Oryzias latipes: one gene and its partner. The protein of the gene in region 2 purifies or fractionates together with the protein of the main gene of each other region. This does not show direct contact. Links are inferred from orthologs where the notes say so. Each region holds a gene or a part of one and is shown on either strand. Other genes may lie near its edges.

Region 1 (11,197 bases), on a different chromosome or scaffold from region 2:
GAGGGAAAGCCTCGTCCTCCAGCTGCTCATACAGGGGGATGTCGCCCTGGCTGTCCTCCTTTGGACCTCGCATGATGTCAGAGTCCTGCCAGCGAGAAGCAAAAACAGGAACATGAACGGCGTCTGCTGGCATTGCTGCAGAGGCGGCTGCAGAGGCGGCTGCAGAGGCGGCTGCAGAGGCGTCCCGTCCAACTGTAGGAATGGATGTCACTTCCTGTCAACAAAGGGTGAACAGTGGTGCTGCTGCAGTCTGAGTGACACAAAGAGCAGAGATAGAATCAGGTGTGGATTCAGGAGCACCGTCAGCAATGGCCCCCCATGGAAGAGAAATGTCACCAAATCTGAGAAAGGAAATCATTTCTCTGCACAAAGAGGTGGGGGCTACAAGAAGATCAGCAAAGCTTTACATCTCAGTCAAAACCCTAAAGCAAAAGTGATCCAGAAGTTCAAGAAAGATGGAAGTGGAACCATGACGTCCACAGAAGCTAACATCTGGACAGGAGCGTCTTCTGATGAGAAGGTTGAAGGAAACCACCATGCAGGTTCACTGCAGTTAGCTAAAGCTGTAGAACGCCAAACTGGAGGGACTTTTTCCCGTGACGCCACCCGGCGCACGCTGCAGAGGAACGGCGTGCGTGGTTATCGTCCATGAAGGAGACCTCTCCTGAAGACCGTGCATGAAAAAGCACGCCTACCATCTGCTAGGGTCCATGCTGATGAAGATGAAGACTACTGGGACTCAATACTCTGGAGTGATGAGACGAAGATCCCCGTTTGTGGAACCAATGACCAGGATGTCGGTCAGGCCGTCAATACACCCTGGAGACGATCGCGTTGATAGAAAAAGTAGAAACGCCGCTAAGAAGTTCATCACAGTTCTGGTGGACAGTCGCTGGCAGATCCAAGCGACGTTGGTCTGAACCCGCGATTTTGGATGCGACTGATGACCGACCGCCTCGCCCTTTGAAGCGGACCAGAGCCAGCTTCTTCCTGGGAACAGTTTGTTCTGTCCTTCACTTGTTCTTCTGTTTCTCTTCAAGCCGCTCATAACTTTTATGTCACCAACAATGGGTCACACCAGGATCCAATGCTGGAGGAGCATCATGAGGTTTCTACTACACCCTCTCAGGTGGAGGAACAGGTAGTGAGGAGGGCCTTTAAATCAGGCAACAAAGAGGAGCTGAGGGCTGTACAGAAGGAGCTGAGACGCGACATCAGAGAGGGAAAGACGAGCTACAAGAGGATGATGGAGGAGAAGCTGCAGCAGAACAACGTCAGCGGGGTGTGGCGAGGCCTGAGGACCATCACTGGATACAATGAGCCCAGCACTCAGGCTGAGGGGGACCAGACGTGGGTCAACGACCTGGATCTGTTTTTCATTAGATTCAATAGACCACCCCCACCCTGTCTCCCCCACTGCTGCATTCAATGACCCCTATTCTGCTTCATCCCGACGCCCCTGACGACTCAGCCCGCAGCCCCTCCCCTCACTAAGCCCCACACTGCCACTCACAAAAGCCCAGGTGAGAAAGCAGCTCAGCAGAACAAAGGCGTCAGGCCCAGATGGCATCGGCCAGGCTCCTCAGGACGTGTGCAGATGAACTGTGCAGCGTTATGCTGCACATGCTCAGTCTGAGCCTGAAGCTGGGGAAGACATCCTGCGTGGTCCCGGTTCCAAGGACATCCCTATGGAAGCGATTCTGTAGCATTAATAAAAAGCAAAGTCAAAACCAGAAATGCTTTTTCATTTTCAAAATGAAGCTGCATTTTTTGACTCAAAAATAAAATGAAAAAGTAATCCACCAAAATGCTTTTTCTTTTCCTTCCTCAACACAGCTTATTCTGTCACTTGATTAAAATGAAAATGGTATTTGACATTTCATTTTCAAGACGTTCTCTGGTAAATGTGTAGCAAAATTCATTTAGAAATGTCTAATTTGATGTCTAAAATGGATTAATAGAAATGCTTTTTAATTTTCAAAATGAAGCTGCATCAAATGACTCAAAATTCAAATATAAAAGCAATATTTCAAAATGCTTTTTCATTTTATACTTCAAACCGCCTATTCTGTGTCATAATTAAAACGAAAATGCAAAGAGGGGATTGCATTTGCATTTTCACATCCACCCTGGGAAACTTGTAGCAATATTCATTTCTCAAAAGCATTAGCAGAGGGGAGGCGGGGCGATGACGTCACTGCTTTCTCTGTGTGTCCGACCGCTGACACACACACACACGCACCAGGAGCAGACTGTGTTAGCGGCAGAGAAAACGGCTTTGTGTTGGTTGTGAACTTCTGATGAGTTTCCACAGCTTCTCAGGACTAAGTAGCAGCATGTCCACCTTCTGCGGTCCTCCTCCTGACTCACCGCGGACAAGCTTTGTTCTTCGGACCGCCAGCTGCCTTCGCACAGCGGAGCGCGAAGCTCCGACGATCGCTGAAGGCGGAAATGCTGCTGCGATCTGAGAAACCATCATATGAATTTGTGTTTCCAGTGGTGTCCAGAACAAAATAAAGACTGATGTAATTCCCACATATTTACACATTTATCTGCAGCTTCGCGCTGAATTTTCTGTTTGATGACAGCTGGAGCTCCATCAACAGACAGCAGATTTCTCTGTGCTAAACGTTGCTGGGTGGACCAAAAACACTCACTCAGGGCGAAGCTGCAGCCAGGAGACTATCTTGATAATGTGCTTTTATTACTGTCATGATTATTATTAAGGGCCTGCTCTGCTCGATCATATGTTTTTAAATCCGTGCGGTCAGACGACGCTGAAGAAGTTGGGTTGCGATTCACAGCTTCTGATTGGCGAGGGAGATAAAGGAACATTCTGCTGCATTTCTCGCATTAAGATCCAGGAATCCAGGTTTGAGCAGTCCAGGTCCAGCGGTTTGTGAACAGGACCCGGTTTTAGGTGATCTCAATGCGAACACAGACACACCAGGTCTCTCAGCGACAGCGGCCGTACACACGGAGAAAGCAGTGACGTCATCGCCCCGCCCCCCCTCTGCTAATGCTTTTGAGAAATGAATATTGTGACAAGGTGCGCGGGGTGGATGTGAAAATGCAAATGCAATCCCCTCTTTGCATTTTCGTTTTAATTATGACACAGAATAAGGGATTTTAAGTATAAAATGAAAAAGCATTTTGAAATATTGCTTTTTCATTTGAATTTTGAGTCATTTGATGCAGCTTCATTTTGAAAATTAAAAAGCATTTCTATTAATCCATTTTAGACATCAAATTAGACATTTCTAAATGAATTTTGCTACACATTTACCAGAGAACGTCTTGAAAATGAAATGTCAAATACCATTTTCATTTTAATCAAGTGACAGAATAAGCTGTGTTGAGGAAGGAAAAGAAAAAGCATTTTGGTGGATTACTTTTTCATTTTATTTTTGAGTCAAAAAATGCAGCTTCATTTTGAAAATGAAAAAGCATTTCTGGTTTTGACTTTGCTTTTTATTAATGCTACAGAATCGCTTCCATACATCTCGGCCGACTGACTTCAAGGACTACAGACCGGTGGCGCTGACCTCTCATCTGATGAAGACGATGGAGAGGCTGGTGCTCACACATCTTCGTGTCATGGTCAGCCAGTTGGCCTACCAGCCCGGTACCGGAGTTGAGGATGCTGTCATCTTCCTCCTGGACAGAGCTCTGTCACACCTGGACCAGACTGGGAGCTCTGTGAGAGTCATGTTCTTCGACTTCTCCAGCGCTTTCAACACCATTCAACCGCTGCTGCTGAGGGACAAGTTGGTGCACATGGGCGTGGACCAGTATCTGTCTGCATGGATGCTGGACTTCCTCTCAAACCGACTGCAGTACGTGAGGTCCCCCCACTGTGAGTCTGACATGATCGTCTGTAACACAGGAGCACCGCAGGGAACAGTTCTGCCTCCGTTCCTGTTCACCGTCTACACCGCAGACTTCATGTCCAGCTCAGCATCTGGTCACCTGCAGAAGTTCTCGGATGACTCTGCCGTTGTCGGACTAATCATGGATGACGATGACAGAGAGTAGAGAACTGATTCAGAGCTTTGAGGACTGGTGCCAGCGGAACTACCTCCAGATTAATGCAGGGAAAACCAAGGAGCTGGTGGTGGACTTTCGCAGGCTCACTCTACATTAGCACCGGTGAACATCCAAGGAAGGGACATAGAGAGAGTGGATTCATACAAGTACTTGGGTGTTCACCTCAACAATAAACTGGACTGGTCACACAATACAGAAGCACTGTACAAAAAAGGACAGAGCAGGCTTTATCTGCTGAGGAGACTGAGGTCTCTTGGAGTGCAGGGATCCCTCCTAAAGACTTTTTACGACCCTGTGGTGGCATCAGCCATCTTTTATGGAGCGGTCAGCTGATGCAGCGGCATCTCAGCAGCGGACAGGAAGCGGCTGGAGAAGCTGGTGAAGAAGGCCAGCTCTGTTCTGGGGCTGCCTTTGGCCTCATTACAGGAGGTGGGAGAGATGGAGAACGACGCCCACCCCATGTATGAGTCAGTGTCCTCTCTGTGCAGCTCCTTCAGCGTCAGACTGAAACATCCTGAGTGTCTGACGGAGCGACACCGCAGGTCGTTTCTACCTGCTGCTGTTAGACTTTACAACCTTAGCTGCTCCCAGTGAACCACGTTAACCAACATCATCCGCTCTGTCATATTGATTTTACCCTGTACAATAACTGATTATATGGTCATCCTGTGCCTTTTTTGGAAATGTATGTGTGTATTTTGTGTATATATGTGTGTATAATGACTCCATAGTTTTGTTTCTTTTATATATTGCTCTCTGTTCCTGTACTGCTGCTGCAACACGGAAATGTCCCCATCGTGGGACTAATAAAGGAATATCTTATCTTAAATGTTGGAGGTGTGGTAATAATGGAGCCAAACACTTCCATATATTTTAGGACTGTGTGGTTGTCAAGAAATCCTGGTCTGACATTCATGAACATGTGCTGAATGTATTTTCTATTGTCTTCCCCTTTGAAAGTCTATTTTTGGGTGAGATAGAACCATATGACCGACAACAAAAGTAAGAAACTGCTCTATGTTCTCCTGGAAAACCATGACCAGAAAACGGCTTAAACCTGAGCGACAGACTGGCTGGACGTTGTACAAAGGATTTATACAATGGAGAGAATTTCTCACTCATTGCCAACACAACTGGAGGTTTTTCCACTGCTTGGTCTAAATGGACAGATTATGTAAAGCCTGTAAGATCAGACTTAATGTGGAGTGTCACTGAAACGGTGTCATACATTTATGATTTGAAAATCCCTGAGAAAGCAAGAATGTTGGAGTCCATCACTGCAATGTAGCATTCATCATGTGCTTTTCAATAAAAATACACGTGAAAAAGAAAAAAGCATCCAGAAATGACCGACACTGGAAGAAGAAGCAAAACCCAGAATACACTTAAATACACTTTTTGGTAAAAATATTCCGACGCAATGCATTGTGGTCTATATTCACTGATCTAGTGAACAGCAGTGCACACTGGTTTTTCACAGAGACTTCTGGGAAATATCTAGGGCTCTAGATTTTGGAATTGTAGATTCAGACAGAACTAGAAAATGACAAACGCACTATGTAGTGCACTATGTAGGGGTTAGGGTGGGAATTCAGACACACCCCAGCTCCCCAAAGATGAGTGTTTCTGAATGACAACCTCTACTGTGACGATAAATCCTTCAGTGGACGCGTTTAACTCCGCCCACGTGGACTCACGCCTCCGTCTGCATGAGTCCGAATACGCTGGTGTTTATTCTGTCGTCTGCCTACAGGGGGCAGCACCGTACAGCGCTTGGTAGTAACCACAGAAGAAGAACCATAACAACAGAAGAAGAAGGGGGGCGGCAAAGTCCAAACCAAATAAAAACAAACCTGAAAACGGCGACAAGCGGCGAAACGACGTTACCATAGACCGGCCGAGGAAACGAGACGGAAACTGTGGAAACTGCGACCTGCATCTCAGGAAATGACGTTGGTGTGATTTTTAAAAACGACGCGTTTAGAAAAACAGACGCGCGTTGATGCAAATGAAACACCGACAAGCGCACAAACATCGAAAACTACAAAGTATTCACAAAAATAGCAATTACAGGGCAAAAAAACAAACCTGAGTGCCGGAGCGCGCGCCAACACACGACGAACGCCACAGGAGAAACCCCTTCCGGTGCCCAAATGCGGCACGCCTTCAAAATAAAGTTGCACTGAAGCGCTTTAAATAAAATTTCAAATTAAAGTCCAGACAGAAGGAATTTAGATACACAGATAGGCAGACAACGTTTTTAAGAGCAAGCACTTCACACCAAAAATGAATGTAGCTTTTATTTTTCAGTATTTTAAGCAGCAGATATGATGGAGTTTGAACCTTGAACAGGCCTCACACATCTCAGGTTTTATATATACAGAAAAGGACAAACAGGTTTTTTAAGCTTATTTACAGTCCACTTTAAAGGAACTTTTTTTTAGAACTTGTGCTTAGATTTCTTTGAGGTTTACTTCAAACCAGGGGCCTGTTTCAGAAAGGAGGTTCAACCAACTCTGAGGTTAAACTTGAACTCTGAGTTGGTCAATCGAGAGATTAACAACTCTGAGTTTTCTGTTTCAGAGAAGCTGATCCGAGTTAGGTCAATCAACTCTGAGTGGACTGATTCGGAGGTGAGCGTGCGCACCGCGACTATAAGAAGCCATTATCAATGGAGCGCAGATATCACGAGTCACCATGGCAACCGTGAAAAAAGAGGTCTGCGTATTTTTCTCCAGCTGAACTTGACGTGCTGCTGCAGAGTTACAGTGAATATGAGCACATATTCCGGAAGAAAAGCAACACCGCTGCATCTGCAAAACAGAGACAGTTAGCGTGGAAAACATAGCTGCTCAAGTTAATGCCTAAGTTTGCATTTAAATCATTGTTATAAAATATTGACTGTAATAAATAACTTTTTAAATAGCGTAAGGAGTGAAATAAAAAATGGTGATATTTAGGTTTACTTTTGAAGTGTTATTCCTGGTGTAAATGCATGAAATGCTGCACAGTGTACAGAACCAATCTGGGGGAAAATGCATTTAACGTCGGTAATGTTTAAAGGACTTTTCTGTTAACCTTCCCCTCTTGCAAACGTTGGTCAGTTTAATATTAATACATGCAATTGTGTTTTTAAAAGTGAACTTTTGTCTACCCTTGTATTGATCAAGTGGTATAAGTTTATATGGGATTAAGAAAGTAAGCAGTGCTAGCAAATTGTGTTTCCTAAAAGTAATTGTTACATTAATCTAATTCAATGTCCCTGATTTCATTTTCATGTAGATGCAATCCTGCAGGAATTAAAAGAACATGGCAGCAGCTAAAAATGAAGTATAAAAACATAATTCAATCAGGTCAAATGTGAGCATGTCATGGATGTAGGCTTTGTTGACAATATTTGACATGTGAAACATCTACATAGCAATACATATCTAATGTTGTTTTCATTGTATATATGTAATTGACTGCAACGAAAAACGGTAACGCTCAAACAAAAACGTATGGAGCAATGACAAAAAATCCAGTCTAGGTCTCAAAATCCTCGCACGACGTAAATGTAATTCTCTAGGAATTAATGCAGCCTCCTCGTCTATTGGGTCCTCCAAAAAAGGACAAGCCATTCTTGTCACTTAGACCGTCTCTGTGTGACGGAAATTTGGGCAATGAAGGTTAAAGCAAAAAATACCGCTTCGTCTTTAAAAAGGGGAGGGGACCGGCAGAAACTTTGAGTTTGGAGAATAAAACCTGCTCCCGACCAGGTTAGGTTCACAGCGTAAGTAACCATGGACACTGACTCCGAGTATAAGTTACCTCTCTTTCAGAAACGGGTTTGACTTACTCTGCTTTCTCTGGTTTAACAAACCTCCCATTCTGAAACGGAAAACCCAGGGTTTCCCTGATTTCAGGGTTAACATACTCAGAGTTTACACTTAACCTCCTTTCTGAAACAGGCCCCAGATGGACCTCTTGGAAAAACAAACCTTTAGTTATCCACTGAGCTTCATTGATGCTTTGAAACAGGTTCTGACTGGATTTATTGATGATTGGAAACCAGCCTTGACTCCAGTTGAAGCCTTAGAAGGCTGTCGGGCTGATGCAGATTTGATGGTATGAGTTTCTCAGAGGCGTCTCCTCAGCAGGAACATGAAGAAAATGGCGCTGAGCAGGACGCAGAGCGTGCACACGGTGGGAACCACGATCTCGCTCACCATCTCCTTGTGGCCCCGCAGTGGATCTGTGGGATCACAGCAGATCACAGGAGCACAACTTTGAGGAAGCAGAAATCCACAGCCAGATACTGCAGCTGCTGTCGCACAAACCACCAACAAACACCCACAAAATCAGTCACATCTTCACAAATGCTGTCATTTTTCACCAAATATAGCCCCAAGCATTGCAGAGTCCAGATTTCCTGCATTTTTGTCACCATTTTAGTTCATATTTACAAAAATAAAAGATCTTAAAGCAGGCTTGCCCTGTTTTCTTATTATCATCGTCTTATAATGACGATTATTATAATACTGTCATTGTTTTCGTCTGTTCATCAAACAGTCTTTATTTTTCCTCCTCTTAAAAACATAAACCATCATAAACCACTTAGATATGAGTCCGCTGGTTGGATCAGAAATGATCTGGTCCTTGTTTACCTGTCTTCTTGATGCTTCAACAGTTTCCAACTAAAGCAGTAAACTAAAGTTTCTTAGCCAAATGTTTGTCTTTAGAATGATCAGATCTGCTTTTGTTTTGAACATTTAAAAAAAAGCTAAGTATTAATGCAGGTATGTTTCAGCATTTGGTTTTCCAACAGAAAAGAAAAGAAACATTTCATAAAGTTGTGTTTGCTTTCAGTTGCTGAACCAGACCAAGGCCTGACAGTGGACCAAGCCACACCTCCATTAAACTACCAATCTCACGGCAAAAATACTATTTGTCTTGGATATGAATTCACATCCCAGAGGACAGAGGACTGGACCACAGTAAGAGTCATTTCTATGGAGAAGATGGGCCGTTTGACACTGGAGTGAGTGGAGCTTCACCTGTTTTTGTCAGCAGCTACCTAGCGGTTGTCTTGTGAACTGATGAGGATCAAGGAACCATTAACCCTTGTGCTATCTTAGATGGCCCCCCCTTCCATTGACGTGTTCTCCCTACCATGACAAAGGTGGTTAAAGGTGGAAAGATTTCATGTAATCCATGGACACCAGTGAAGATCACAAATCATTGAAGAAAAAAGGTTCAGAGCACTGTCTAGTGGGTCTAGATGACCCCACTCCCAATGTTAAAGTGCCTGGGATAGAACAAGGGTTATGCCAGCCCCTCTCTAAAGAAAGACAGCTGCCAGCATTACAATGCTGTCATGAGAACTAATCCTTTACTTCTGCAGTAATGAAGTAAAGATCCTCTTCTTGTGCTGTAAGAAACGGTTCTACATTCTGGTAAAAAACCACTATCCGCTGTTCTCCTTCTGTGCTTAGACCTCATGATGCACTACCCAAACCTGCATGTTCTTGATCTCCCCACGGGGAAGAAGCTGGTTTAAAAAGCAAAATGTTCTGCAGCATCAGATTGACCTGCAGCCAGGAGCTGGTTACTGGAGAAGCAGGCTTCCTCAGCTTTCCTCTTCCAACTCTCCATCTGCAAAGACCCAGCCGTCCCACAGGTGAGCAGCCAGCCGAGGTCATCGTGTTCACGAGGAGCATGTTGGTTTCCGCTCACCTCTCTCTGATTGGGAAAACCATTGGAGCTGATGATCCGTTTGTAGAACTGGACAGAGGCCTTCGGGTACCGTGGTTTATTCTTACTGCTGAAGTCCACAAAGAACAGGCCGAACCGTTGGCTGTATCCTTCATCCCACTCAAAGCTGTCCAGGAGAGACCAGGCTGTGTAGGCCTTCACGTTCACACCGTCTCTAACTGCTGAAGGTCCAAGCACAGACACAGTCTGACTCCGTCTGTGCCAGAGAAACAGCCTCAAACACAAACGTCGGATCACCTTTGAGCATCTCATTGATGTAGTCTTTGTAGTACTGCATCCTCCAGGCGTCACACAGGTCTGTGCAGTACTTTTTCTCCGGGACGCCGTTTTCTGTCACGTAGATCATCGGGTTTCCGTACTCAGACTGAACACAGAATACAAAAAAGAGATTAAAAACAAACCCAATCAAGAAATAGAATGATTTCCAATGCACCAAAGATACATCTTTCAGCTAAGGCCTTTTATGGGGTCATGTATTGAATGGGCCTCTTTCAACAGACTTCAGAGAGGGAAACATTGAAATAACAAGACATTACAATGGCCCCACATGCACACCAAGGGGCAATTTAGAATCACCAATCGATGCAGTGAAGCATGTTTTTGTACTGTAGGAGGAAATCAGAGGCAACCCAGACATGCACAAGGAGAACATGCAGAATTCAAACCGGAACCTTCTGACTGTGAGGCCAGAGTGCTAACCACAACACCACATGTTCTCGTTCACCTTTGGGCTTATCCTGTCAGGGGCCACCAGAGCGAATCAGCTTTCACTGATTTGCACAGTTGGTCTGCCAGAGTTTTTACACCGGTGTCCTTCCTGACAACCTGTCGAAACAGCTGGAGGGATTGAGCGGGTTTGGAGTGGTTGGAAGTAACGCCCCTTCTGACCCTTCATGCATTTGTGTTGATGTTGCTTCTGTTTTGCAACTGCGGCTCATCAATGACTCAATAGAAACTAGCGTTCCAGGTTGCTGTTGAGTTTGCTTTGTCATAGTACCACTCTGGGTTCCAGGGAACCTGTCCTCGTTCAGTAGGTTTGTGTAAAGAGCAGCAGGAAGCCATCACTGCACTTTGTACCTTCACATAGTTCAGAAAGCGTCTGAAGCCCCAGGGAACTGAATACAGCCACTCTGAGCCTGGATCAGGCCATTTTGGATCAACCAGCTCAGCAAGGTCCCGATCCACAAAGTAACTATCCCCAAGGCCTGATGGGTAATTCTTCTGGGTGATGTAGCGGGTGGTAAAGTGGCCTAGGCCCAGGAAGTCGCAGGCGCCTCTGATGTAGGTTTTCTCCTGGGCGGAGAAGACAGGAAGCCGCGATGCTCCCAGGCCCTGCTGTCCACTCTTTCTACCTGAGGAAGAGTTCAGAGTTGCATTCCGTGTCAGTCAGGAATTC
Region 2 (11,107 bases):
TACTTTTTTATTTAAATCTAATATTGAATTTCTTGAAACATTTCTTAAAAAATGTTATTTTAAACTTATGCACTGCAAACTATTTAATCTGTGTGAATATTTCAAACCTTGTTATTAGACATCCAAAAAATTTTACCAGGTTTGAACTTGTTTGAACTTCTCTTTGCTCTAAATCTTTCCAAGCTTTCTCAAAATCAGCCTAATTGAGAATTTTTTTGTCTCAAGATCTAGAAATAGGGAAATTATTATTAACATCAGTAAAAATTATTTTTGCCCCATACGCCTAACAAAACTTAATTTAAGACCCCCAAAAAATACTAATTTTAAGAAAGGCTGCATGCCATTTTATGTACATTTCAAGTGTTCTATGTATATTTTAAAGGTAATAATAAGCGCTGTGATTTTGGCTTCAATTTGTAATATTTTTTTTAAGGTTTTATAAAAGTTGACAAGTTAGACTGTAACTATTCAGTAAATAAAAATGTAGGTTTATGATCTAAGAATAAAGTTCCAGTTTTAGATTTATGAGGATTTATGAAGATGGACCAACTTGTACTAACATTGCATACTTATTTTGTTCACATTTTTGTTCTAAAATGAGTCATTTCCACTAATTACACTAGTTTTTTTTGTCACTGTAATCAAAATGAACCTTTAAATAGGTCCATAAAAATGTAAAAAATACAAACCATTCGCTTAGTACAATCAAAAAAGACTTATTTTTGGGCTGCACAACATTACATTTTTAAATAATTTTATCTAACAGCTTTTTTAGCCCATTTGTCCCTCTTTGAATGCTTGTATGGAACTCCTTGTTTTTTTAGATTTTGATGTCTTATAAGATTTTTTTGTTTAATAACAATTTCTCACTGCATGGATGAATAGTTTTACTTTTTCTGAGCTATTTTCCTTTTTAAGATTGGTGTTAATTCTCTGTTTTTAGGTCACATTTTGGAGTGTGCTCATTAATATTAGAAACTAACTTTTTAGAACATTGGAACTCTGCCGGATGCCTTCGTCATGTGAGCGGTCCATCTCGTTGACAGTCAGCAGAAGTTCTTGATATGCCTTTAATGCCAAATGCATCCTAAGGAGAGAAAAGTCACAAAACTGGGAAAAATATGACATCTTTTATTTTAAAGTAAGCTTTTTTCTGGCATTCTCACCTGCGAGACCAGGAAGTGGCCTCCTTGCGGTCCGTTAGCAGCATCTCATAGTAGTTGGTGATGTTGCGTTCAATGAAATGAAAAGCGCGGATGGACATGGTCTCAGAAACCAAGTCAGCGCGGAAGTTGTTGCCGCGGTTGAAAGCCATGAAGAAGCTGAGCGCCCACAGGTAATAGGTCTCATCGTGCTGCTGGCTCTGTTCTCGGATCAGGTTCTCCTGCGGAGGGAATGAAGAAAATTCTAAATCTGCATGATGCGCCCAGCGCAGAGCTCTGGAAAGGATTCTCGAGACCGACCTTGACGAGATACATGAGCCGATTGTAGCAGTTCTCCAAGAAATCCACACAAAACTCACGCAGGAAGAGCCGAACGTTTAAGGCGGAACGGCGTTGCTCCTTACACTCAGAGGCTCTCTGATTTCTCTTGGGAACACGCCTCACTGCTTTGCCTTCGTCATGAGTGTAACTTTTAAACTGCAGAATGAAAAGCCAACACAAGCCTGTCAAACGTTAGTGATCCTAAAGGAAAATTTGCAGCTCAGAGGGGATCACCCACTTTGTGAAGCCTTCTGTGGTAAATAACATCTTTGTCCCCGATCGCCTTGAGGCCCTGGACAACAAAGCAGCCACCGAAGCGCGAGTGTCTGGAAGACACAAAAAATAATGCAAAGTTATTTATGAAATGAATTAAATGGAACAGAGGAAACCCCGTGAAGCCTTAGTCCCAACTGCCCTTGTGGGCGGATACAGGCCGTCTGCGGGGCAAAAATTGGGCAAACTTGGGTCAAGAGTTGTCCTCTGAGGAGACGTTTCCTGCTAATTATTTTCTCCTTATACTTATAATAAAACAATGCTGACTCACTATTTGTGAAACTTTTTGATGTTTCTATTTTTCTTAGAAAACAGACTTTTGCCCTCATAGAAAATCAGTTTAAAATTGATCAAATTATAACTTTATCCTCATAAAATATTGACTTTTACTCATACGTTTATTCTTGTAAAATTGGACATTTTCCTCATAATATTATGACTTTATCCACATAAATGTTTGACTTACTTTGTCATAATATTACGATTTTATTTTTGTCAAGTTACAACTTTTTCCTCATAAATCTACTTTATGTTTGTAAAATTTATTTTCCTTTTTATGGTGGCCCTAATACTCTGTTATGAGAAAGCAACATAATCTTTTCTGAAATAATAAAGAATCATATAATTAACAACATGCTCAATTTTAGACTGCAGAGTGACTGCAATAAAAATGATTATTACCCCAAAGTTTGACTCATGCTCACTTTTTGCTTCTAACTAACAGACGTCTCTATTAAAAGTGCCTTTATTAAACGATTGAGGGTTTATTTGGTCCTCACGTTGGACCATGCCTTTACCTGGTTCCTCTCTGTAACGTCCTCGAACGTTTCTCTGCGTTCTCCTTCTGCCGCAGCGCCTCCAGTTCCTGAAGATCTCTCTGCTTCTCTTCTGCTGAACGGGAATGGCCGGCGCTTACCAGGAGCTCCGCCGTCTGGGAAATAAAGAAAAACATTGAAATGGAGAAAGACGGAACTTACAGCTAGAAGACTCATCTGCCAAACCTGATCTCTGAACATGAGGGATATTATCTCCAACACGTGCATGCTCCACTGCTGCTCGCTCTGGGCCGACGCCAGGAACTTGACCAGGTCATCAAATCCGCTCATGTGAATGGCCCACAGCACCTTGTCATGAATGCTGGCATCATCATCCACCTTCTGCAGAGAGAGGAAGCAGAAGGTAAAGGTTAAAAGAATCTGGTTAAATGAAACATCATAGAAGTTAGTGGAACCTTGTTTTGCTACATAACAAACCTTCTCTTCACACGGGTCTGCAGGTACATGAAGTATATTCCTGACTAAAAGCAAAATCCTCTCAATCAGAAGGTTATCTTCCTCCTGTCTCTGCTCCCAGTCCTGGTGAAAGAAGTAGCAGCAGTTAAACAATAAATAAACACGTCAAAGAAACAAAACGTAACAAAAAACGTAGCAATGAAATGCAATGGGAGACACCTGAGGGTGTCTCTATACCCATTGTACAGAGGGTATAAAAAGGAAGTTGATGTGTGGTTGCCATGGTGCCAGCTTCATGTGAGAAAGCCGGTTAGCTCAGGGAGCAGCGTTAGCGTTAGTTGGCTCGAGCGGAGAGTGTGGTAGGACTGCTTTTATCCTTACCTGTGGATGATGTTTTCAAGCAGTGCTTGATGTTTTATTTTATTTTAAGACAGGATCACGGCAGAGGTAGATCCTGTTTTATCGGGGATTTTACAGACTGGGGTCAGGTATTTTACACTTTAAACAATTAACAATTTAAACAATTTTATCAAATATTTTTAATCTGGTGCCCCTTCTGTTTTTAGTGTTGGAATACTGTGCCCTGCTGTAATGTTCTAGTTCTTTTGGTTTTGTGTTTTGTTTGTCCGCTCCTCACGGGGCTCATTCGGCATGATTGACTAAGTGCAGGAGCGGACTACATCTTTTCTATTCTGTTTGTCATTTCTTTGTTAAAGTCACTTCCCCCAATTTATACTGGACATTATTTTTATAAGTGCTGTATCTGACCGAATGTGCTGTGCATCACAGTTTTCTTGGCTGTTTGAATTTTTTTTATAATTTTTATTTATTTGCATCAATTGTGATTTTCTTTTCTGCACGTTTGCTGTGGTGTCATCCGGATGGTATTGTACTGCAGACAATGATCCTGTGTTAATAAAACTTTGACTTGCTTCACGGCAGTTATCAGTTATTTTATCGGTGCAACAGAAAGTAAATGAAGGGGTTAAAAATTCATCTATTACAAATGAAACACTTACAAGCTGCAGAAAGTTGTACAACGTCTCACTTAAAATCCCAAACACTCTTTCGCTGGCAAATGCCTGAAAAGGAAAAACGACAAAAATGATAATTATTAGCTTAAAGTGAAGTCTAAATGATACAATCCAACTTCTAACAGCAGCTTTGGGGGGACTATTCCATCAACAGTATAGCCAAACCTCTTTATAAGCTTGTAAATGCGAAGTCACTTCCATGAAGTGATGAGTGAAAACTGGATCATCTGGAACTTTTCCAAAACACAACACAGCCGGCTGAGTCAGGTTGACCATGAGCCTGAAATGTGCAAAAAAGAATTTTAACAAACATTTCCTGCAACAACAAATTAAATTACCAGTATAACTAATTAAAATAAATATTCTTTAAAACTGTTTTTGATTTCAGCAAAAGAATATAAAAAAACTAATATTTTCTTCATTTTTTTTAAAGTGCCACAAGACGTGTGTTTATGATAGGGATGTAACAATTAATCAATCGCTAAATCAATTTTTCTTACAATCCAACCAGATCAGTCTGTCAGCGGGAAAGTTATTAACATAAAATTACATTTGGATTGAGAAACTCTAGGTGATGCACTAGAAACAAGTGGACGACACGTGATGACAGCAGAAAATGACCAAACCCTCATTTCAGTCAGACAACTCTTGCAGTAAGAAATATTTATTTGACATTTTTCCACATTCTTTAAGTTGGCATTCACATATTTTCGTTTGGCATAAGGCTCCGTTCAATTCCATAAAACTTCCATAAAATTCCATAAAATTTCCATAAAACTTTCGGGTAACAAAACCCCCTTTACGGAGCCCACAGATGGAAGCCGGGGAGGAGGGTGGGGCGAAGAATGAGCGCTGAAGGTAAGAAAGAATGAACAACTGCGCACCTGGGCTTAAATAGGATGCTGAGCAGGTGAGTTAATTAACTGAACCGCCCTAGGGTATTTACCTGAAAAACACTGCTGCGAGTATCTGCCTGAAATGCGATAAATCGTCATTACAGTCTAATGTGTGCAAATAGGCCATACAGGGTGGTAGAATGTTATAATATTGTTTAGTTCATATTATTCTGATGTGGAAAACAACAGTGGGCTGAACTTTATGAAACTAAAACATTAATGAATTTGCCATTAATTCTTGTTTATTTATTACTTGTTTGTACACATACTGAACCCTAGAGCACCATTGCGGGGGGATTTTCACCCGAGCAAAACTATTTACATGAATTTCAATGTTTTCATTTTGTTACATATACACAGTTGAACATAAAAGAACACCACTCTAACCTATGATTTGTTATTTTTTTATCTATTTTTAATGGCAAGTACTTTTTGTTTGGTATATTATATCAGGTAACAATTACTCGGCAAAAGTGGCGGTGTAACTTTTAATGGCAAACGTTTTCTAGGGTTCATTTTTGCTTGATTATCCTGCAAGAAATAGAATCTGGAAAATTGCATCTGCAGTGTTCAGTACCCAGGTATTTATCTCGAGTCACACTTTTTAGGTCAGTCAATCGGATCATACAGAATGAACCATTATCGACTATGAATCATTTCGTCAATCACAAAATGTGATATGAATCGAATTGGTATTAAAATGAATCGCTACACCTGTATTTCATTAAGGTTTGTACCTGATGCATGCATCAAATAAGGTTTTGTCTTGTCTAAACTGAACAATAAGAGGGAGGAGGTCATTCTGAAGTATCTGGCTAGCCCCCAACTGCCGCCGGACGTCACGGGAGTCGTCTTCATGTCGCAAATACCGGATCAGATCTTTGACACTCTCTGCACACAAACATATGAAATGTGTTTAAAAATGGCTGACAAAACCAAAAAAATAAAAATAAAAATCCTTTGTTTATAAAGAGGAGAAACTACGTAATCGTGATCAGCACTCACCCAAACAATCGGTTTCCTTGTGATAATTGTCTCCTTCCAGGTAACCAAGCGCACTACAGGTAGCCAAAATTTCACAATTCATCTTGATCAGATCTGATGACCTTCAACCAGCTGCTGCAACACACAGAACCTCGTGTTTAATTGTTTATGAAAACCAACCTAAAAAACAAAAAAAGGTCACATTGATTTTATACATTTATATTAAATATTACGTGTTATCTTGCATTTAAAACTCTACAAACAACACCATATCTGTCAAGTTCTTCAATATCCAACAACAGTTTATCAGTTTTCAAACGAAAACGTTAAAATTCTTCATAAAGAAACAACTGTATATGTAGACGCATGTTTTGATTACGATTTTAAACTTTAAAAGTCTGAAAAACTTTAAAAGTTTAATAAAGTAGAAACATTTATCTTAAGTAAGAGTTAGCTTTAACTAAGCTTAAGCAGAATTGACAGCGGAATTAAAACACCGACCAAAAAACTATGAACAGAAAATAATTCAAATAAACTTTTGTATGTCGTTTAGCCATTATCCAAACACCAGAGTTTGACGTTTTCACAGCCTTTTATACATTTTACTTACTGTAAACAATCAAAAAAATGAACATCACAACACGCGCCAAAACACTGAGCGAGAAACGAGAAAGCGGATGTAGATCGTCGTCATTTCCTGTAATAGTTTTCCCTGAGTTTGGTATTTAAGGTTTCATTTTAGAAGGGGAAAGATTGAAAAAAAATTTGTTATAACAAAGCATCCGGTATGTCTCTTTGTGGGACTAATTTAGGAATATTTTTAGTGACCTTTAAAGACTTAAATGGCGTAGGAGTGCTGGATTTTGGTTTTTGCAAAGTCGTAGCTTAATAATTCCTGCAAGTTTCAAAACAGGGCAAAAAAAGAAGAAATTTTTGAAATAAATTAAAAACATTTTAAATTACAGTGGTATGGTAGGAGATTTGCTACCTATAAAGAGAAGTCATTCCACATAAAAATGAGACATATATTATTCCTTTATAAAATGCTCCTTATTCACGATATATTTTAACCTGCAAACATTTGCCTTCCAGTAAAACACCCACAAAATATTCAATAAATGTGTTACATTTATTTTTGAGGAAAACAGAAAAATATGATGAAAACATATATGTTGATTTCCATATATACCATAACTTCAAATACGTTTAAAAACGTGTTTTGACACATTTTTGTTTCACAAAAATACATTTTATTTTAATGAACATTTATCAATGTAATAGCATTTATCTTGAAATACTCCAGGCCGAGAGAGCCAGTGTTTTCCTGCAATTGCTTATAGACAAAACAGATCTGATCCAATGATACGAATCCAGTTTTTTTTTTTTAAACTTTTTATTGTTATTTTGTGTTGTACAGCCCTTAAATACTCTAAATGAGTTTTAAAGTGATAAATAAATAGAGCTTAACCCTTGTGCTATCTTAGATGACCCCACCTTTACATTGACGTGTTCTCCCTACCATGACAAAGGTGGATAAAGGTGGAAAGATTTCATGTAATCCATGGACACCAGTGAAGATCACCAATCATTGAAGAAAAAAGGTTCAGTGCACTGTCTAGTGGGTCTTTTTCCTATAAGTTGTTATAGTTTTCAATAATAATTTTCAACTTCATTAGTTGAGAATTTGCACAGGTTGTTGTTTTTCCCTCCAGTTTATCGAAACGTGTTGTTGTGTACCCCACAATTATTTTAAAACTGTAATTTTTTTTAAAATATTTTTTTTACGTTTAGTGCAAGAGCAATTTTCGAACAAATACATAAATCACAGCATGCTATATAAATTTAAGACAAAAGAGACCAACATTTCATTCATGTTTTTAAATTTAATTTTAACTACACAGAAAAAATGTACAAGCTGAAGTTTTATTTGTTTTTCTTTTGTTTAAATCAAACATGTAACTTCAACATTATACTTTGGGTGATTACATTGTTTCACTTTATTTTAAATGTGTTTGTTGGCCACTGAACCTTTATGCTGTTTCTTTGATTTGGCTATTACTTATATTTAAACGTAACTTCAAAAATTTCTAAAGTGTTTGAAGTCTAAAATTGAATTTGTAGTTTAGAAAGCATTTTTTGTTTTATGACAATGACTTTATGACAAACCATTGAAATCTCGGAATTCAAATCCTTTGTTTTTCAACAAAAACCTTGAAGGAGAACTAAACTATTTATCTCTGCTTTCATCAAGACGCTTTTCAAACTGTTAGAACAGACACTTGTTGTGCTTCATGACAGTTAACAGCAGCGCAGTACGAGACGCTCTCACATTAACCCAATGCATCATGGGAGTTCACGTCACGTCTCTGATCTTCATTATTTTATTCGCTTTTTACATTCATTCTGATCCCGCAGGAAGCTACTAGGGGTGCCTGGATGATCCGTGACTCATGGATCAATAGCCCTGGTTCCGCACAGACACGTGGCGTGGATTGCCCCCCACCCTTCACTTTCCTCCCTCCGCGCCCATCATTTGTCCGTTCACACCGAACGCGTCCTCCGCTTCTGTTTTAACCCAAATCAAAGCCACTGCTGGACGTTTGTCCAAAAGCCGCTGTGTGTGGGCGGAGCTACAGTCTGGCCCTCCTTATGAAAGACACAGAAGATGTCTATATTTTGAAGAGCTCCACAAAGCTGTCGGCAACTGAGTAGTTACTCAGTATGAAACCTGAGCCTTTTTTTTTGATGAATATAGAGCTAATATTCTGGTGATGATAAATGTTTTTGGATCAGTAAAAAAATGAGTAATTTCCCATGGCACACCTGACCATCTCCTTAAGGCACACTATGTGCCATCGGCACAGTGATTGTGAAACACTGGTCTATAAGAAGGCTTGGTTTGACAGATCTATAATTATAACCTCGGCAAATAACAGAAACATTCATACAGACAAATATTGTCTCCAACTCATTTTATTTGCATGTACATCTTTACAAACAATTGTGTCGGATGCACTCATCGCTCCAAAGCCTATTCTGCACATAGAATTAGTCATACTTTCAGAATGTTCTGCGTTGTTCTGTAATCTGCCCGTGATGTTACAGTGATTTGCACAAGAAAAGAATAGTAAAGCTGCTAAAAACATAAGTAGACATGTCAAGCTAATTTTGTTCTGTATTTGAAGATGTGTTGGCCAAAGGGCATTGTCGGACAGTTTGTTAGTCACCCACAGGTATAATAACTAAAATCCGTTACGGCTTCTAGCTAAAAATATCTAGTCGTGTGAGGATTCCACAGGATTGCACTCTAGATAAAGGCCTCAAGTGGTACATCAGTAAAGTAGTTTTGCACAGCCCACACAGATTTACCAAAAAGTGGCTTACATAGCACCAAAGGGACACTATTTCCTATTGATTCAAAATTGCACCTATTCTAAGACACACTGCTACACAAACGCATAATAGGAATGAGAACTAGATAGAGGGAAAATGTTTCTCCATTTTTTTTTTCATGATGGCACAGGCCTTCAGATTATCAAACAACTCTACTCATCCTTGTCAGTCTTCCCCACGTCACTCTGCTTCTCCCTTTTGGATTCTTTCACCACCTGATGAAGCAAGCAGGAAAAAGTTTAGTCTCTGAGAACAAATTGTGATGGTTTTGGTTTGTTCTTTTCAAGTTTGTCCAATTCTTTGTACCTCTCCATCTCTAGTCTCCACAGTCTTTATCACCACGGTTCTTTTGCTCTGGGAGTCTGGAATTCTTTCGTAATCTGTAATATGTCCAAATATGACAAGAGTTTCAAGGCTTGGATAATATTTCTGACAAACCGCAAGTATACAGAAACAACAGTACAAAAATGGAAAAACTGCATGTGACTATTCACACATTTTTTAAAGTCTTTAACAAATATGACAATGAAGAAACATTTTCTATGTCTATTAGTGAGTGTTAGGCCTATAATCTGCTGTATCCCTTTTGGGGTCATGGTGTTGCAAGATCCTGTCCCAGCTACAGGTGGGTTACACTTGGGTCACCATGTTACACAATCACCCTATGAATCAAGGTACCCAGGTAAACCCTGTGCCACCGTGCAGCCCTCAGTGTAGGTGTAGTTTAAAAAGAACAAGGCAAAATCAAGAGGAATGTTGGGTTAAACATGAAAGAAAAAGGTTTAAAAAAAAGCTGCATATATCTAGAGGTAAAAGGCACTGTTTCATAAATGTGAAAGACACACCGATCGCTTTAAAAACCTCGCAACGTCAGTGTCTTGATTAAAATCAATTAGACAGATTTTTTTAATAAAACATTTTGGTTTGCTGTTTTTTAAACAACCACAACAAGAAAAAAAATCTGTAAAAAAATACTTTTTCTGTTGCTTCTTGCATTAGCGAGTAAAACGAACACTGTCATTGTTTTTGGAAAAGTCTTTTTTCAGAATGTGCCCTGTCATTTGGTTCAGGTGGATTAAGCAGCAGGGATTTAGCACTTTCAGATTTGACTGAGCTCCTAAAATAAACATGCACTCCACATAAATACTTTAAAAGTACAATTTTAGCACTGGAAAGCATAAAAAACACGAACCGTTGCTTTATGTACAGAGAAAACTACATCTTACCTCGTTCACCAAGGTGATTGCTCATCCCAATATTATAGATGGGGACAGAAATCCTATCAGGATGAAAAAAGAAAAGGACGTTTTTGCATCCAATGATAAAATTGATTTGCTCTTAGTTAGCTGAAGTCAAACATGCATTAGAATAGTTTGAGGTGGATAAAAGGCTTTAAAAAAAACAGCATCTGTTTAGAATTTAGAATCAGAACCAGATCTATTGAGCTTTTCACCCTAAATAAAGTTTTTTTTCTGTTTAGAGTAGGAGGCTAATTGTTGTCTCCCACCTGCTCTCCTCTCCCTCCAGCAGTTTGCGGTACGTGGCTATTTCGATGTCCAGTGCCATCTTGACATTGAGGAGGTCCTGGTACTCCCGAAGGTGGCGAGCCATCTCTTCCTTCAGGTGGCGGATCTCATCCTCCAGCCTGCCTACATTGTCCTGGTAGTTTCCAACCTCAAGGCCAAACTGGTCTTCCATTTCACGCATCTGCCTAACCAGAGCCTCATTCTAGGAGAAATCAGAAACTATTATTCCAGTTTGCAGCTGGACAGACCTTCATATTGATAAATAAAACGTGGCATTTGGCCTTA

Evidence for each region. The genes of interacting proteins can lie anywhere in the genome.
Region 1: the proteins of timeless (region 2) and tipin purify together in Homo sapiens (affinity purification with western blotting; 6 studies listed by BioGRID and IntAct, counting the BioPlex papers as one, with this or other methods). This does not show direct contact. The link is inferred for Oryzias latipes from reciprocal best matches to the Homo sapiens genes TIMELESS and TIPIN.

The regions. Positions count from the first base shown.
Region 1 is NC_019861.2:605,709-616,905, forward strand, and holds the start of tipin (TIMELESS-interacting protein), read right to left. Parts: upstream 6,242-11,197; 5' UTR 6,136-6,241; intron 6,032-6,135; exon of another isoform or gene 5,901-6,031; intron 86-5,900; 5' UTR 74-85; coding exon 1-73. Other genes in the region: lactase-like protein, read right to left, coding at 8,166-8,281, 9,618-9,681, 9,763-9,962, 10,039-10,165, 10,879-11,153.
Region 2 is NC_019863.2:27,118,580-27,129,686, reverse strand, and holds the start of timeless (protein timeless homolog), read right to left. Parts: upstream 6,610-11,107; 5' UTR 6,514-6,609; intron 6,039-6,513; 5' UTR 6,007-6,038; coding exon 5,925-6,006; intron 5,811-5,924; coding exon 5,657-5,810; intron 4,304-5,656; coding exon 4,189-4,303; intron 4,072-4,188; coding exon 4,009-4,071; intron 3,113-4,008; coding exon 3,011-3,112; intron 2,915-3,010; coding exon 2,759-2,914; intron 2,689-2,758; coding exon 2,555-2,688; intron 1,811-2,554; coding exon 1,723-1,810; intron 1,641-1,722; coding exon 1,464-1,640; intron 1,385-1,463; coding exon 1,167-1,384; intron 1,088-1,166; coding exon 984-1,087; intron 1-983. Other genes in the region: prph (peripherin), read right to left, coding at 9,449-9,511, 9,603-9,676, 10,523-10,575, 10,804-11,024. UniProt on the Homo sapiens protein: Plays an important role in the control of DNA replication, maintenance of replication fork stability, maintenance of genome stability throughout normal DNA replication, DNA repair and in the regulation of the circadian clock.